2 linked regions of the Caenorhabditis elegans genome follow. The protein of the gene in region 1 interacts with the protein of each later gene in a pairwise test. Each region holds a gene or a part of one and is shown on either strand. Other genes may lie near its edges.

Region 1 (8,635 bases):
TAAAAAAAAAGTTAGCTTATATACAATACATTAAAGAAGATTGATGCTGCTTAATCCGAATGACAACACTCCTCAATCTCGAAATCATTTGAAGGATTCGAAAGCCGTCCTTCTACAACATCCGATACAATTTCATTGAAAGCTGCCGGATCATCTGCATAGACATGAGTTCCAGCACCTCTGACAATCTTAATATCCACATATGCATTCTCTCGAGTTGATTGAATATCGATTGCCGGTCCTGGATCAATCCAACTCTTGCTGCCGTAGATAAACGAAACGCCTACGTTTTTATCAATTCCATTGAATCTGAAATTATTTTTAAACTATATTTCGAGTACTCATCAGCCGAAACCTTTTGATCATTGGTCTTTTTGCCCAACCGACTGGCAATGTCATATTCATGAAAGCAGTTTCTCCAGTTGGATTGGGAAGATTCAGATAATACACATATTTGTAAATATCATAGTCATGAAGTCCGGGGAATCGGAGTAAAAGATCTGGACGCAACTTTTTGACAATTGCCGGCGCTGAAAAAAAATCTTTTAAGTTAAATAATTAAGATTGAACAGCTAACCATATGGCCCCATCCATCGCATCGGCGAGAATGGATTGAAGTATCCGGCAACTCCTCCAAGGAAGGACATCCAAGCATAAGGTTTAATCTGAAGCCATGTATTCTGATTATTAGCATCAGAAGCTCTTAAACAATACATTCTTACCAGTTTCTCAGTTGTTTCAACTTTTTCAGCGAATCCCCATGGATCTACTAGAATCAGATGAGCAACTCTTGATGGATTCTCGAGAGCATAAGCACTCGCCAAATATCCTCCAAATGCGTGTCCTATAATGTACATTTTCTCAATTCCCATGGCTTTTCGCCAGTCTTCCATCACTTCAACCATTTCCAACTCGGCGATGGCATTGTCGTCACTGAACCTCGATCGCGATGATCTTCCGAAACCTAGTGGATCAAATGAATGCACAGCATGATTTTTGGCGCAGCTGTTGAAATTTGCCGTGAACATTGCAACACCAGCGCCCAATCCAGGAATGAAAACTATTGCTTCGCCGTTTAGGTTTTCAGCTTCTCTGGGCCTCACTGTCACCGTGTACACTTCGCCTCTTTTGAATCTGACCTGAAAAAGACACTCCAGACCAGAGAAACAAATATTTCTCACTCACCGGGACATATTTGGCTTCGTATGATACTTCGCAAGACTGAAACAGACGTCCCTCGACAATTTTTAGTTGTTCCTTCGAGTCATCCGTGAATGTCATCCAATTCATTCTGAAAACCGTAGTTTTATTTGAACAGCAAGCATCAAATATTAATAAATACTTACATTGTTGTTAATGCAGTTTTTGTCGTTGCAATTGCCATCTGAAAACAAAAAAATGTTGGCTAGAGTGTGGCTAAATAGGGGGCAAAGTGCAATAACAAGAAGAAATCACAGGAAAAAAATTTTGTCCTCGTGTACGACACGGCCGTGGCCTAGAATTCTCGGAGCTTCAAATGGAATTTATTAATTTTTTGGCTCGATATTTTCAACAAAATCTCTTGATATGTGATGATTAGTCACGTTTTTTCTATTTTAATGAAATTTGTTTGTGTAAATAACCTCGCGAAACCTGTTTTCGCATCAGCTGTCGTCGCTTTTGAACAAGACGCTCGTATTCTTTTCATTAGAGCGCCGTTGCCTTTCTTCATTTTGCCAATTTAACAGTACGATTTCTTATATTCTATTTCAATATTATACTTAAAGTTTATTTTATCAAACTCTCATTTTTAGATGCCATCGGTTCCACGTGTTGATCGCCTCAAACCCATTTACACAGCCGCAAAAGCTCTGAACTTTGGATGGCGATTTTCTGATTTTCTGAAAATTCCGGCTTATAATGGAATCTCGCGTTACACCAACCAACTTCATCGCATCACTGTCAGGTTTTGCAAACAAAGTGAATCCAGTGTCGGAGTTCGCAATTTTATTGAGAATCAACTCGTTGAAATCGGTAAGAATTTCTGTCTACGATCAAAAAATTAATAGAGAATCTAAATTAAAAGCTTCATTTTTTTTTAAATAAAGAAGGAAATCCGTTTTTTTCAGGCCGTAAAAACCCATCAGTTGTGATCTATGCCCAGCCTGTGCGAAACTCGAACCCATCAATCCGCGCAGAATATGGAAATGGTCGGACTCTACAGATCAATGCAAAAAACATGACACAAGACGAAGTGAGCAAAGATGTGCATTTGTTATTCTCAAGAAGCGGCGAACCAGTTGTGAAGCTAGAGAGTCGTCAAAGTGCATTGGTTCCTTCTATTCAAGGTCAATGGACACCGATAACATGGCTTCCAACAGAAATGAACACGGAACAACTTCCAGCGAAACAGTTCTCAAAGCACAAGTCAACGGCAACGTCGGCGACGGAATATATTCTTCAAAATCCACCAAAATAAGCAATAATCCGTTATTTTATAGTTGTTTTCATTTATTCGTTGTTTTCTTTTGATTTTTTGACAATATTATTAGTAATAAAATTTAGTGTTCAGAATGAGTTGAATAACTCGTTGGTCCAGAAAAAAGGAAAAATACTGAACAGAAAAGTTAAGGAAATTGAAAAAAAAAGAAAACTTTTCAAGAAGTAGATAGAAATGAGAATCATTGGAATAGGCTTCAAAAAAAAATATATCAATTTCTAGAAATTATAATCACTGGTTATATCCATTCATCGGGTCCCATTGCCATTGTGCCTGTGGTGCTCCTTGAGCTTCAGGTCTCCATCCTCCACTACTCGATTGTCCGTAATCCACAGCACTTGGAGCACCGCCGAGCTCTCCAAATTCACTGGCTTGAGGTTGAGGAACAGTTGGTGCAGTGACCCAATTATTAATATCTTCTTGTGGAGCAATTTGATGTGTTGCAACCACGTATTCGAACTGTTCCGAGTATGGATTCATGAATTTGTATGCAGACACAGTACATGGAATGTAATCAGTACTGGTACGTACTCGAATATTTATTCTCATTGGTTGGTCACTGAAATGGAAATGTTTTTATTTAGTTAACATGGAATCTACTGCTATAGGTTTAAAGGAAAGTACATTTTTCGAAATGGTCCCGCCACGAATATTATTCGTGAAAAATTCGCCTGAAAATATTCCCTAGAACCGCGAAAATTACGATTAAAAAACTACGGTACCTGGTCTCGACAAGACAAATGTTTGTTTAATGAAAAAGGTTTGAGCCTTTAAAAAGTACGGTAATTTTAATGTTTCTACTCAATTCTCTTTGGTTTTTCATAGTTTTTTTGATAAAGGTATATTTATTTGTTTAAAAACTCACATAAGACAACATGTATTTTTACAAATAGTGAGAAAAACTATGAAAAATCGACGAAAATTCTACAGAGTAGAAAGTTTGAAATTGCAGTACTCTTTAAAACCGCACACACTCTTGAAAGCAGGTAATATGAAATTTGATGGACGCAAATTGTTCAAAAAGGTTTTTTTACGAAAACTTACCTTAAAAGAGCCACAAATGAGTCTTGAAGGGTCTTCTCATCTGCTGGATGTGCAAGATTCCACCAATATCTTCCGATAAGTTGATCACTGCTCAAACCAATTAAATCACTAACCCTCGCATCAATAAATGTCATTTTTCCATCTTCCGAAACACGAACCGAAAATTGATTTGTTGATGTTGGATCAGCACAGACCGGCATTGATGCTACCTTTAATTAAATCACGTTTATCTGCATCGTAAACTATTCTAACCTGTAACCTGGCAATTGCCACCAAACAAGATGAAGCTGGAGCATTAATTCCCTGTGGTGGAGCATTTTTGATATATCCTGTGCAATGCATCACAACGTAATTTTGACCAGCATGTTGGAATAAGGGACGGCGATTTCTGAGACGATGAAGTGGTTCAAGGGCTCCGACACGCATTCGACAGATGAATCCACGACGACATGACATATGAACTCGTGTTGATGCTCCTTCGCGTTTCACTGATCCTAAAATTCAATGATTTTGATAGTTAACTTGAAGTGGGTTACTGTACTTTTAAAGATACACACATTTTAAGAGCGAGCAGATACCTTTTTGACGGAAAATCACAAATTTTGGGCATGCCAAAATCTAGTGAAATTACAATAGATGCTTTTAAAACAAATACTACTTAATTCGATTGACTGAAGTAAGTGGTTATTACTGTAAACGGTTCCAAGTTATATGACTACTTTGGAAAAAATTCAAAAAATCCTTGAATCTCTCCTCTTCTCTTTTTATGATAACTCACCAGATTTCAAATCGAGAACTTTATTAACTGATACTTCACTTCCACACAATTGATCTCTAATTTTATCTTGATCATCTGGATGTATGAGTTCATTCAAATTTCTTTGAAGCCAATCTTCCTAAAAATTAATATTTATATTTCAATAATGAAAGATTCAAATCTTGCTCACCTGCTTCAAATTAAGTACGGGAGTAATTGAATCAGCAACATATAACACTTTTCCAGTCTGACAACAAACAACAAAAAGAAATCCATTCGCTGCTTCTAGAATCAAATGTTTCAATTCTTGATCCGTAAGAAATGATGGTTTATATGAAGTTTCATCTTGTGCCGTATGTCCTCGAATTCCTTTCATGTGTGATACTGCCATTCGGAGAATCGTTAGTTTATCGGGTTTACGTCCAAGTGATGCACATTGTGGAACCATTTCGGCTAATTCATTTATGTAATGAGTCATTTTGTTACGGCGACGTCGCTCAATCTAAAACGTTTTCAGTTGAATTTGAAGCAAGAAATTTTACTTTTTCCATATTGAATTTTGATTTCAGAAATTTCAACCAAAGGGTTGGTAAATTGCCAAATTTTTAAACTTTTAGTTTTTAGTTTAATACTTGCAGAAAGAAAGATTTTTCGGTCGGCTTCCGAATTCATGATATGTGAAACTCTAAAATTGTGCCTATTTGAATTTTAATTATACAGTTTGAAATAATTTTTTAAAAAGTTCTCTATGACTCGATAATTTTAGCACCATATGTAGAAATTTTTAAAAAATTTAAAATCGCTGGAAATTTAATTTTGAGTTGTGTTACGTCCCATGAAAATTGCAGTTTTACAGGTCAAACAATACCCAGAGTATCGTACTTTTTATTTGAATTAATGAAACATAGCAGTATAAATTTTCAGATATAAATGTTCAAAACCTCACCTCTGAATGATTTTCCCTTGCAAATCTTTCCTTATTCTCTCCCATTTCATCTTCCATTCGAGCATATTTTCCAGATGGCATGCCCATATCTTCATCTTCCATTGCGAAGCTGAAATTATTTAAAATTTAAAATATAAGTTTAGAAGTATCCAAAAATAACCAGCAATAAGCATATCTGAATAGTTGTATTGCATAGAAAACCAATTTTAATCAACACATTTTTTGCAATAAAAAGCCATAACTTAAGCTAATAATGTCACACTATGCCTTACCTCGTCGCCGATTGCCATGGATCCATAAATATATCCTGAGCCATTCTGAAAACTATAAAGAAAAGTTTTTTTCTGTCGAAAAGAAGAATTGAAAGACACCAAAACAAATTATAGGCAATTGAATATATTAGGTGAAGAATTTAAAAAATTGAATTTTAAAACAAGTTGTGCAATGGATCGAGAGTAAATCAATTAATTATGTAAATCGTCGCTTCCTTGCCCGATGAGAGAGAAAGTATGGAAAATCTAGAGTAAGATGCGTCAGAGAATACTCTCCATTGTAGACACAATGTCTTTAAACACGCGATACGTATGTCTGAGTCTCCATTTTTCATATACTCTCACCAATCAATATTTCTTTAGGATGATGGGGGATGGGAAAGGAATGGTGTGAGAGAGAGGGGCGTGCGCGCTTTTTCTATTTGTCCAGTACCTCGTCACCAAACACCGTTGAGGACCGTATTATTACTATGAAGAGAGAAAGAAATGAAAAGAAATTGAGAGTGACCCCCCTACATATGGTCACTGGATATTTGAGAGAAGAAGCAACAGATGGAATTAGAGGGGAGAGACTTTTTAAGGATGATGAAGGAGGAAACGGAAAAAAATTAGAAGATGATGGATGGATGATAGGGCATATAAAAATGTGATAGTGATAATGCAAGAAAATAAGTGAAATAATGCACGCATTTATAGTGTGACCAGTATTTGAAAGTTGAATGACCACAATTGATTGATCAAATTTTTTTAACTTTCACACTCTCAATTAAAATCATTTTTTATTTGAAAGAAAACCTTTTGCATAGGCCCCTATAAAACATTCTGCTACATGCCTCGCACTTTGAACTAAAAAATATCGACCTGAAAACTGTTCCTTGGATGTTTCCAACTTTCGAGTTTTGTGAAATTGTTCCAAAAGTGTAGTTTTTTATCAAGTTAAAGTTTTCTTTCTAAAAAAACACACATAATTCAAGCTTTCAGAATGTTTGTTTCAGATCGACTTTTCCACTCGGCCTTTTGTAGATTTAGAATGCACTAGAGTTTGGCATAAGTTTGATTTTATTCATGTCAAACTTTGACCCAAACCTTTCTTGTATTGTTTTAAACTGTTGAAAAAAATATTGTCGCTGCCAAATTCTGGCAAAAAGTTGGTGTACAATGCCAAGCAGTCCAAGGCGCTCTTCGCCAGAGGAGCCATAGGACGAAACTCCATATTCAAATTAGTTATGCTTCTAAAAAGACAGATATAGTGACATATATTTCAATTTGGAGACCCCATTCAGAACTGTTCATATATTACAAAATTGATAATCTAAATATCAGTGCTCTTTTCTCGAATTCAACTCGTCTGCTCAACCGATTCATTCGTCAAAGTTGTATCTCCAGATTTCACGGATTGTAAGTCGACTGCAGAAAGACACAAAATCTTCTTTTTATTGAATCTCACCGTTTTCTCGTTGAATAACTAAAATCATTATGTTAGGTGACAATCATAAGGTTCAGATAAACTTACCACATTAAAGTACGGATGAGTGAGAATCTCAATTCCAGAGAGACGCTTGTTCGGATTGTAGACAAGGATTTGAAGAAGAACTGCTACTGACTCTTTCATGTCATCTTGCTCAATTTTCTGAAAAACAACTCTCTGGAGGTTTTCTTAAAGCTTTTTGCCTGAAACCGATTTGATTCCACATGCGCCTTATCGTTTGGTGCCTACTCTGTGCCTATCTTGTACCTAGCTTGTGCCGCGCAATCAATAACAGACTAGTGGTACATCAAATCGGTTTCAAATGTTAAGATGGTTCCGAATGTAGCACTTAAAACCGGTCGCTGATGAAAATTGTCTGAATTTTCAATGAACTCGTTCTTCGTATAATAATTACCGTATTATAGACTGTAGTTCTCCGATCCTTCTGATAAATGACTGTCTGTGTGTAGAGATAAGTCAAGTCGGCAGTTGTCTTCGATTTATTATATTCATATGAATCCAAAACTTCCTGCAACTTCGTGCTGCTCACTTTCATTGATGACACATCAGAATCTGTTGGGTATCCGAGCATATCGAAAATGACCTCCGCTTGATTGTTCGATGATTTTCCAGCCAAGATGATTCCGCCTTTCAGTAGCTCTCCAAATACACATCCGCAAGACCACGTGTCTGAAAAATTATATTCTAGCAAAAAACTCCAAGACTTGCTCAAGGTAACTAATAGTAAACTTGGGCTTAGTAAGAATTCACCAACAAGCATCTAACAAAATTATCAGATAATTTGAATATTTTTTCAGAATTTTCTTACCAATTTTGCATCCATAGTACTTGGAGCCTAAAATCAATTCTGGTGGTCTGTAGTATCTCGTGACATGATAACTTTGCTGTGGTGATTTTGTAGATTGGATGGACGATGAGCCAAAATCAGATATTTTCAGCAGACCTGTTTCGGCGTTGTAGAGTAGATTTTGAGGCTTGATGTCTCTGTGACAAATGTCAGCCTTAAAATTCCAGATTGAATGGGAGACATATTCAAAAAAATAACTGCACCTTCTCCAAATGTGCTTGTCCTCGAAACAATTGCCAGACAATAAGCTTCACTTCTACAATGTCAATCCGGCGGTTTTTGTCTTTTAGAAACTGATAAAGATTCAATGGAATGTACTCGAAAATCAGAGCAAGACAAATACGACCTGAATATTTGTAATTTGCTTATTATTCTATCAACTAAGCGTGCTCACACCTTCATGTTGTTTCTGATAGCTGTACAACAAACGAACAATATTCCGATGCTTCAACTTTCCCAACTGTCCAAGAATCTTCACTTCCATTGGACATCCTTTGTGACGCGGCCAGGTCTTTTTGATCACAATATCGATTTCCTGATTGGATTCTGTTTGAGCAACTCCACGGTAGACATTGGAAAATGCTCCAGTAGCAAACAGATTCATATGATGAAGATTGAGATGCATCTGAAAAATTCAAATGTTCCGATGAAGTTGCAAGAAACTTGAAGCTCTTTCACACTTTTTTTGTAATGTTTCCATCAATAGGTTAATTGTACTGAGGCATTATGCGCACATGACACAGTTACCTACCGACTACTAGACAGTTTTTGATTTTCAAAAATTCAATGTTCCTAATATGA
Region 2 (7,759 bases), 670 kb from region 1:
TTTACATGTTAAAATAAATTTTTTCTTTTTGAATTCAATAATTCTCACAAATACTTTTTTGGCGTGACACCCTGACATTATTTGTCCATATAAGAACAAAAATTAAATAAAAATTCAGTACGAATCTTCATATTCGATACAAAAATTGTATAAACGCTACCAAGCGACAAGAAGACGATGAGCCCGATGGACTATCTACACGCCATTTTGCTTCTCGTTGGCCCACTTGCTGCGCTTATTGGATGCGGAGGAAAAAAGAAAGCACCGTGAGTTTATAGGAGTTTCAGGAATGAAAATTACAGATTTCCTTTTCAGGCCACCAAAGTCCGCATCCAAGATGACTGCCCCAACTGCTCCTGCACCAGCGCCTCCCGCTGCTCCAGACGCTCCACCAGTTGCTCCAGATGCTGCCGCTGCGCCTGCTGATGGAGAAAAGAAGGATGGCGATAAAAAGAGTGAAAAGAAGGAAGGAGACGAGAAAAAGGAAGAAAAGAAAGATGAAGACAAGAAGGACGAGAAGAAGGACGAGGAAAAGAAGGATGGAGAGAAGAAGAGTGAGAAAAAAGATGAAAAGAAGGACGACAAGAAGGACGACAAGAAGGATGGAAAGAAGGAGGACGAAAAGAAGGATGACGAAAAGAAGGATGAAGAGAAAAAGGACGATAAGAAAGAAGACGACAAGAAAGGTGACAAGAAGGATGAAAAGAAGGATGATGAGAAGAAAGACGATAAGAAAGAAGCCAAGTCCAAGTCGAAGAAGTCCAAAAAATCCAAGAAGTCCAAGAAGTCCAAACGAGAAAAGAAAGATGAGGATAAGAAGGACGACGACAAAAAGGATGACGACAAGAAAGACGATGTGAGTTTATATTTCAAAGCCCTTATTTTAGCAATCTTCTGAACATAAATTTTCAGGAGAAGAAGGACGATGAGAAGAAGGAGTGAGCAGGATCCTTTCGAACTAGCCCTTCATACTCTGAAATGTCTCTTCTCTACTTGCAAATAAATCTATCAAAATTACTACCTTTCTATTCTTTGTTTTAATAATTTTGAATTCGTCAGGTGCTGGACGTTCTATACAACACTCGTAATTCTTTGCCGAGTTTAGAACATTTTTCCCACTGAAGAACAATCTTTGACTAGACTTGATTGGAACAGTCTCCTTCAGAGTTCTCGGTATTGGGTAACCTAAGAATATAATTTTAAAAGTTACTCGGCTAAAAAATGTAATTCAAAGAGATACATTGCGAGTAACATTTGCGAATGGCGTTTTTCAAGTTGCTAAAATTTGATGAGAAGTTGTGCCAATTCGCCAAGTCATTTTCTACAAGGTTCAAATACTTTTGTGTTTACAAATATGAATTAATGTAAGTGTTAAAGTCCGTTTTACAAATCAGAACAGTCACAGTCATCGGAAAAACTTCATTATTTTTGATAACTGGAAATTCTAATTGCTGATGTTTTGGCATCTGGCAATTTATATTTTTGGTAAAATCAAGTTGCAGAGTCTACGAAAAAAATATTGACTTTTTAATATGTGGTAACATTTTGCATTTCTCAAGTTGCGTTATTCATATTAAAACGCAAACAGCCTAACAACCCTGATCCTGTTTCTTACTGTAGATCAATGTTTGAAAGTGAAGACCTAACATGTACTTACTTCCAGTTTCAGATTCAGAAATTAATTATTATCTCAACGAATTTTTAATATTCTTTCATCTATTGGTCCCCTTTTCTTCATCCATTTGTGTTTCTTCGTTCTCCTCACATCTTCATCATCACGCATTCAATCGAGATGTCCAATTTATCACTTGAAAGACATAACATACATGCGAAGGGAGCAAGCAGAGCATCTTCTTCTAATTGCCGCCTACCGTATTCTTCTCAGTACTCTCTTTAAGACGTTTGATCTCTAACTGATGCATCTGTTGGCAGCCAGTCCAAAAAGAAAACGAGTGAATAATATAGGCGCGATGGTGGAAAATTATGAAGACTATGGTACTAAACGATGCGATATCATATTCACAAATACTAAGGCTTCCGAATAAAATCAAGTAACCTGTGTTTTAACTGAATTAACTGTTTTCAAGTTAACTTTTTTTTTTTTGATTTTTTACAATTTCTTAAACTAAAATTAAGTCCCATATAACCAGCAAAAGTCTCTATATTTCACCTTTCATGACCATTTAATAGCCAGGTTGTCATATCAAATATCAAGAATATGTCAATAACTCATGATACACCCTCCCTATATAAACATATACTATCAGACACTTCAATTATTAGAGAGACACAGAGAATGTCAAGGGTACGGTCATCAAGTGGTTACGGAAGATGAGGAATGTGACACATTGAACATGTAATTGGCACCTTCTCTGTCAATATTGCATGTGAGACTTCTAAGGTGTTCGGAATGATGGGAAAAAGGTGAGTTCTTTGTGACATAACTTTTGATGTGATATCCATTGTTACGTAAATTCTTACCTTGAAAGTGAGCTTTGCATTGAAGAAAGCTGACTGCAAGTCGGAGCACGGAGAGTTTATCCAGACGGCTGATGGTAGAGCTGTCGTAAGGAAGAAGCATAGCAACCGTCTCAAGTTCTCCATTTAATCTGAAAATTAAAAACGGAGATATTTATGCATATTTCAAAATTTGGACTAAGCCTTTTAGAAAACTAATCGACAGGCGTACAGTTTTGCTTTTTTGTCTTAACATTTTTCAGTGTATTACATGAGTAATTTAGTTTGAACTGTATAGGCATGAAAAATCAATTTGTAAAATTATTTTCAATTTGTCCACAATTTTCTAATAATTTCTAATTTTTATTCAATTCTCACCGTTCTCTGTGCCGTTTCGACGGATTGGTGTTAGTCAACTGCTTCGGCGGATCCCGTACCCTGCAAATGTTCCAGTTGATTATATGCCCATGCGTTCTGTTTTTTTTATAAAAAAAAACTAAAAGAACAGGTGTGTCAAACTGGAAACACTATCATTATATTTGTTTTTTCTTGTAACATTTAGATATGGTTCCCCTTTCCCTCTTTCTCCACATTCGCTCATTTTAATAGCTCCCACACCTGGCTCCTCTCCATGACATGCAAAACACTCAAAAATTCAACGAGGATGGCATAGTGGAGCAATTAATTCTCGACAATCATTTCGTATGGTCTTCCATGGAAGAATCTTTACGGAATTTGTACGTGAATGTTTATCGCCTGTTATAATTGTGCACCATATGGTGGAGATGTTTCTATAGGAGGGAGAAGAGGATGAGCAACAGATGAGAGAGAAAATCAACAAAATCAAACGTACTAACTTGAACTTCTATTGTTATCAATACAAACAAATTGATGAAGAATTTGTTCTAGAAAATATTTACACTTTTTCAACTTTTAGGTTTTACCGAAACAGCAACAATTTTAGTGTTTTTTTCAGAAAGACTAAAAATCGAAAAAAAATTCAAACAACACTCTTGGTTGCTACGTGTTCTAGGGCACATGAGAAGGGGATACTGGGAAGTTGACTGAAAAGTGTCTGGGTTCTAAAATATAAACTGGCGTGCGTTTTGGTAGTTTTGCGTGTTTCGAATCATCGTGCAGTAATCCTGATGTGGACAAGTCTTCATTGTCACGATATGCGAGTGAGAAGAGACTCAACGATTCAATGATACACAGACCGTCGGACTGGCCAATGAGCAGTGTTGGGAAGACGGAGAGTCTTCTACCTCACGCACAGTTTCCGTGTCACACGCACATCTGAGCACATGGCACGAACATGGTGGAGAAGATGTGAAGAAACAGAAAAAGAAGGCAGTTTGAAGCCATCAGTCTGAATAAAACGATCGTGTCCAAGGACGACGACAGCCTTAGACTACAATCCTTCTCACTTTTCTAGTTTTTTTTTCATTGTAACTATTCCCATTCTTTGAGCCCTCATACTGGTATTCAGGTTATCTTTGAGTTGGTCAAAAAATTTGCTGACTTTAAAAATATAGGAAAAGGTTAAATATATATTTCATCAATTGACCATTTTTTGAAAAAGCCGATGGCGAGCGAGATATGAATTGTCAAATTAGAGCAATGGGCTATGCAAGTTTTGTACTTTTTAATCTATTTCTTCACAGCTCAAAATATTCAAGCTAAGAAAAACTGGAAATGAGCATATTATCTTTTACATAAAAAAACGATCCCTGTATTTTTTAAACTTCACATTTTTGACAAAATACAAGGAATTTAAATAGAAAGAACTTTCTGCTCGCTATCATAACACATAAAGTAATTTTCAATCTAAGTAGGTTTTCGGTTTTACTATATTTTAAAAACTAATTTTGCTAATTGTGCCACAGATAGTGCATTTCAAAAATAAGGTAACCCCACTGTTATTTACAATTGTTTAAAATCAAAGACGTTTTTTGTAGGAATTCAAACATACGAAATAGCTATAAATTTTTCAAAAAGCCAAGGTTTTTTTGAAATTTTGGAGTTTCCCAAAATGTTGACTGGCAATTCCCTATGATACTACTCCACCTCTAACTCCTTGAGCAGTTTCAAACATTTGTAAATTATAAATACCAGATGCTAACTTGAATATGAGAATAATTTGTAGAAATGCGCAATTCGTGTTGTCTTATTAGCATTTGGAACTCGCATTATCAAAATAATAAAATGTTTAAATGTTAATCCAATTGTTATTTTTAATGTTTCTTAGTTTCACCTAAACTGTTTTCTTTCCCTCTCTCCAATCCCATATCACCTCCGAATCCAGCCAACTTTCGTAACATATTTATTTTGGACAGATTCGCCTTCCAAAAAGTCGTGACGACGATGAAGTGGATAGAATTTTCAATGGATTTCGGATGAAGAAGAGAGGGAGCGGATTACGGTAGTTGATGGATGAATAATACGAGAATATGCTAGTTTTTTTGGTAAAATCTTGAAATTCACCTTTTGAAGTTCCGCTGGCGACGTTTGCTGGCATACATTTCACAAATTCGAACGTCTGTTTAACCTGGAAAATAATTGAATCTAAATTTTTGTTGAAAGAATAAAAAAGTTCGAGGAAAAATCTTCTAGCAAACAAAAAGTAAGGAGAAAATTCAGGCATATCAAGGTCATCAAGGGCAGTACCTTTATGTTTTGTAAATATATTCCTCAAACAAACTAATTTTTAGAAACTTAAATATGACTAATGACTAATATTTCCATATTACTATTGAACCCTTGAAAAAGATTTCCACATTTTTTTCCACAAGACGTACTCAAAAGCGCACAGATGTTTTCGTTTGGTTCCTGCCGCGAGAAATATTTTTTGAAAATAGTTGTATCATTGTTTCCTCATCACGATATCAGTTTTTCTTCTACTGTTGTCATTTTGCAGAAAGTAATCTAAATTTGTTAAAGACATTTAGAGTATTTCTAATGTCATTTCCGGAAATACTATAAATATAATCCATATTTTTAAATAAAACTTAATCTTTTCGAATCTCATTTGTTGTCTTCAAACCTTTCAAGGTCTGTCACTTTATGTGAGAAACTAGATTTTTGACGCGCAACTACGGTACCAGGTCTCGCTGCGCCTTCAAGAAGTACAGTACTTTCCGCTTTCTGTTTTTTAAAACGATGTTTCTCTTAAAAATAATTATTTTTCAACAACAAAATTGGACCGCGTCATCATCATCTAAAATCTAAATGAAAAATTCCAGAAAACTAAAAATAAATTGATGAAGACGGGCGCGGAAAACTCTACAGTACTCCTTTAAGGCGCATACTCTTTTTTTTCGAAAAATGTACTTTCGCGTCGAGACCTGGAAACTAATTATTTCGTTATAAAGTTGCGTTTCCGAATAGTAATAAAGTTTATTTGTATCGTTCGGCTTATGCTATCATTCTACGGTCAATGCAAATCTAAATTATTTTCGAAATTTTTAGAATTTAGCTGGCAGGAGCCACTTCCAATATATATATATAGGTCTTCAATGCAGTTATAATCAAAATTATCAAAACAAAAGAAAAAGGAGAATATTGAGATTGGAGGAGGTCACCCTAATTTGGTAGCCATTTGCAAATGGGCGGAGCTTTGATGGGCGGGCCCGAGTCGTCCGATTCGTTGCTCCGCCAAATGAAGTCTCCGGCAGAGTTGATTGAAAGTCGTTTGGCACTTTTTTTCGGAGGTTTATATGGATATGAACTCCAATTTTATTGAAATTAGCAAAAAAAACGTTTCGAATGGGTTCGTATAGTTGGTTGAATAATGTGATTTAATCTAATTCGCGTAATACGTTATTCAAGATTTTATAAAGGTTTATTATTTACGAAAAAAAGAAAATCAGTAAAAAATAAGAAAAAAAAACGGTAAAACTTCAAAAACACTTAATCTAAAACAACTACATCGTCGTTGCATGAAAGAGGTTCGCAGATGTTCTTGTGCCAACTTTCCCACTGTTGATGGTCCAATTTGCGATAATAAGCTGCGAACTGAAACAAATGTTATATTAAAATTGCAAATTTAAAAATACTTACATCTCCGAATGACATATTTGTATGACAGGAGCTTTTTCTGTTCAAACATGCAAAACTTCCGCACTCGCATTTTCCATTGAGATGATTTTTCATGTAGTTGTATCCGTAGTCCATTGTAAGCTGAAATGTAAAAACAAACTTTATGAGCTAGATTGATAGTGGTATAAAATTTCCAAATCAAGACTTATAAAATAGCTTACCGGTGTTCCTGGATAAATGTTTAACAGCGAAATGAAAACGAGATGTACGTGAGCTGGTGAAAGACCTTTCTGGTAGACACGAACGATTTCTAAATTCGGCGAACAGCTATGACAAATCATTCGTCCAACGTTTCCTTTGGCTTTTGGATCAATGAAAAATTCTTCGTAGCTCAACTTCTTCAAAAACTTTTTATAGTCATCAGAGAATTTCATTGTATCCAAAAGACGCCTCCAGTTCGAATTGTCTTTATCTGTGAGCTGATAAGCATAATCTTGACTGTCACGATCTAGTTGATTACGCTCAACTATTTCTCCAGTAAATTCCAATACTGCCGTGCCAGCTGGAATCAGAACAGATGAACGTAATCCAAATCCAACGTTTTCATTGCTTCGATAGATCTCGAGCGGAAACAGTTTTTTGTTAAGAATTAATAAACTGTTATTGGTGCAGTTTCCTTTGCAGCCACACGCTTCAGAGCAGGAGAATCCAATACATCTATCGAATGTACTATTCGAATTGGAGAACATTACTGGATCAAACGACGCCTGAACTTCTTATTAAAAATTTTTTCATATTCTTACGGAAGGACTTACGAATTTGGTAGGAGGGTGACTGGAACTATTTATTTGTAATCCTTGCAGTTTTTGGTTTAATTTATAGCACGGGCAGTTTTCGTTTTCGTAGCATGGTACAATTGGATTCGATGAGCAACAATCACAACGAATCTGAAAAAGAAAATAAGTTGTTACCTTGAAGAAAAACTAAATTTAGCAATACATAAAATAACTGAACAATTGACTAGAAATAATCTTCAGGGAAAGAAAGAAGAATAAAGTACCGTATTCTCTTCCTTTTGAGACATAATACATGCTTTCGCAATGTTTCTTGCGGAGCACGGGTTCAAAACATTCGTGTCTGTATATTCGAAGAGAAGAGTATCGGGAATTTGAATTGAAGTCAATTTTTCATCTGGTAGATCAGAATAGACAGGAACGATATCTAAGGTGTTGAAAGTGAGATTCTCTGTTACTCGAATTCTTTT

The links.
Region 2: the proteins of aha-1 (region 1) and ahr-1 interact in binary tests that used the Caenorhabditis elegans proteins (3 or more experiments, as listed by UniProt).

What each region holds. Positions count from the first base shown.
Region 1 is NC_003279.8:10,191,449-10,200,083, forward strand, and holds aha-1 (Aryl hydrocarbon receptor nuclear translocator homolog), read right to left. Parts: upstream 5,550-8,635; 5' UTR 5,543-5,549; coding exon 5,499-5,542; intron 5,336-5,498; coding exon 5,227-5,335; intron 4,783-5,226; coding exon 4,471-4,782; intron 4,420-4,470; coding exon 4,302-4,419; intron 4,018-4,301; coding exon 3,776-4,017; intron 3,733-3,775; coding exon 3,524-3,732; intron 3,039-3,523; coding exon 2,711-3,038; 3' UTR 2,477-2,710; downstream 1-2,476. Other genes in the region: lid-1 (AB hydrolase-1 domain-containing protein), read right to left, coding at 51-309, 356-530, 578-680, 723-1,139, 1,186-1,291, 1,347-1,384; mrpl-34 (Large ribosomal subunit protein mL43), read left to right, coding at 1,794-2,013, 2,109-2,458; C25A1.15 (Transposase), read left to right, coding at 5,873-6,148; Y106G6E.1 (Protein kinase domain-containing protein), read right to left, coding at 6,838-6,963, 7,012-7,128, 7,382-7,656, 7,796-7,988, 8,038-8,180, 8,231-8,459. UniProt on the Caenorhabditis elegans protein: Transcription factor. Efficient DNA binding requires dimerization with another bHLH protein, such as cky-1 or ahr-1. Regulates transcription of target genes, probably acting in complex with cky-1. Has a role in cellular differentiation.
Region 2 is NC_003279.8:9,519,798-9,527,556, reverse strand, and holds the start of ahr-1 (Aryl hydrocarbon receptor protein 1), read right to left. Parts: upstream 5,008-7,759; 5' UTR 4,980-5,007; coding exon 4,942-4,979; intron 2,896-4,941; coding exon 2,836-2,895; intron 2,610-2,835; coding exon 2,482-2,609; intron 2,298-2,481; exon of another isoform or gene 2,277-2,297; intron 1,019-2,276; exon of another isoform or gene 943-1,018; coding exon of another isoform or gene 913-942; intron 857-912; coding exon of another isoform or gene 316-856; intron 267-315; coding exon of another isoform or gene 178-266; exon of another isoform or gene 116-177; intron 1-115. Other genes in the region: cylc-2 (Lipoprotein), read left to right, coding at 178-266, 316-856, 913-942; set-32 (SET domain-containing protein), read right to left, coding at 6,367-6,471, 6,517-6,636, 6,717-7,262, 7,311-7,442, 7,556-7,759. UniProt on the Caenorhabditis elegans protein: Probable ligand-activated transcriptional activator. Acts as a transcriptional regulator in GABAergic motor neuron cell fate specification and development.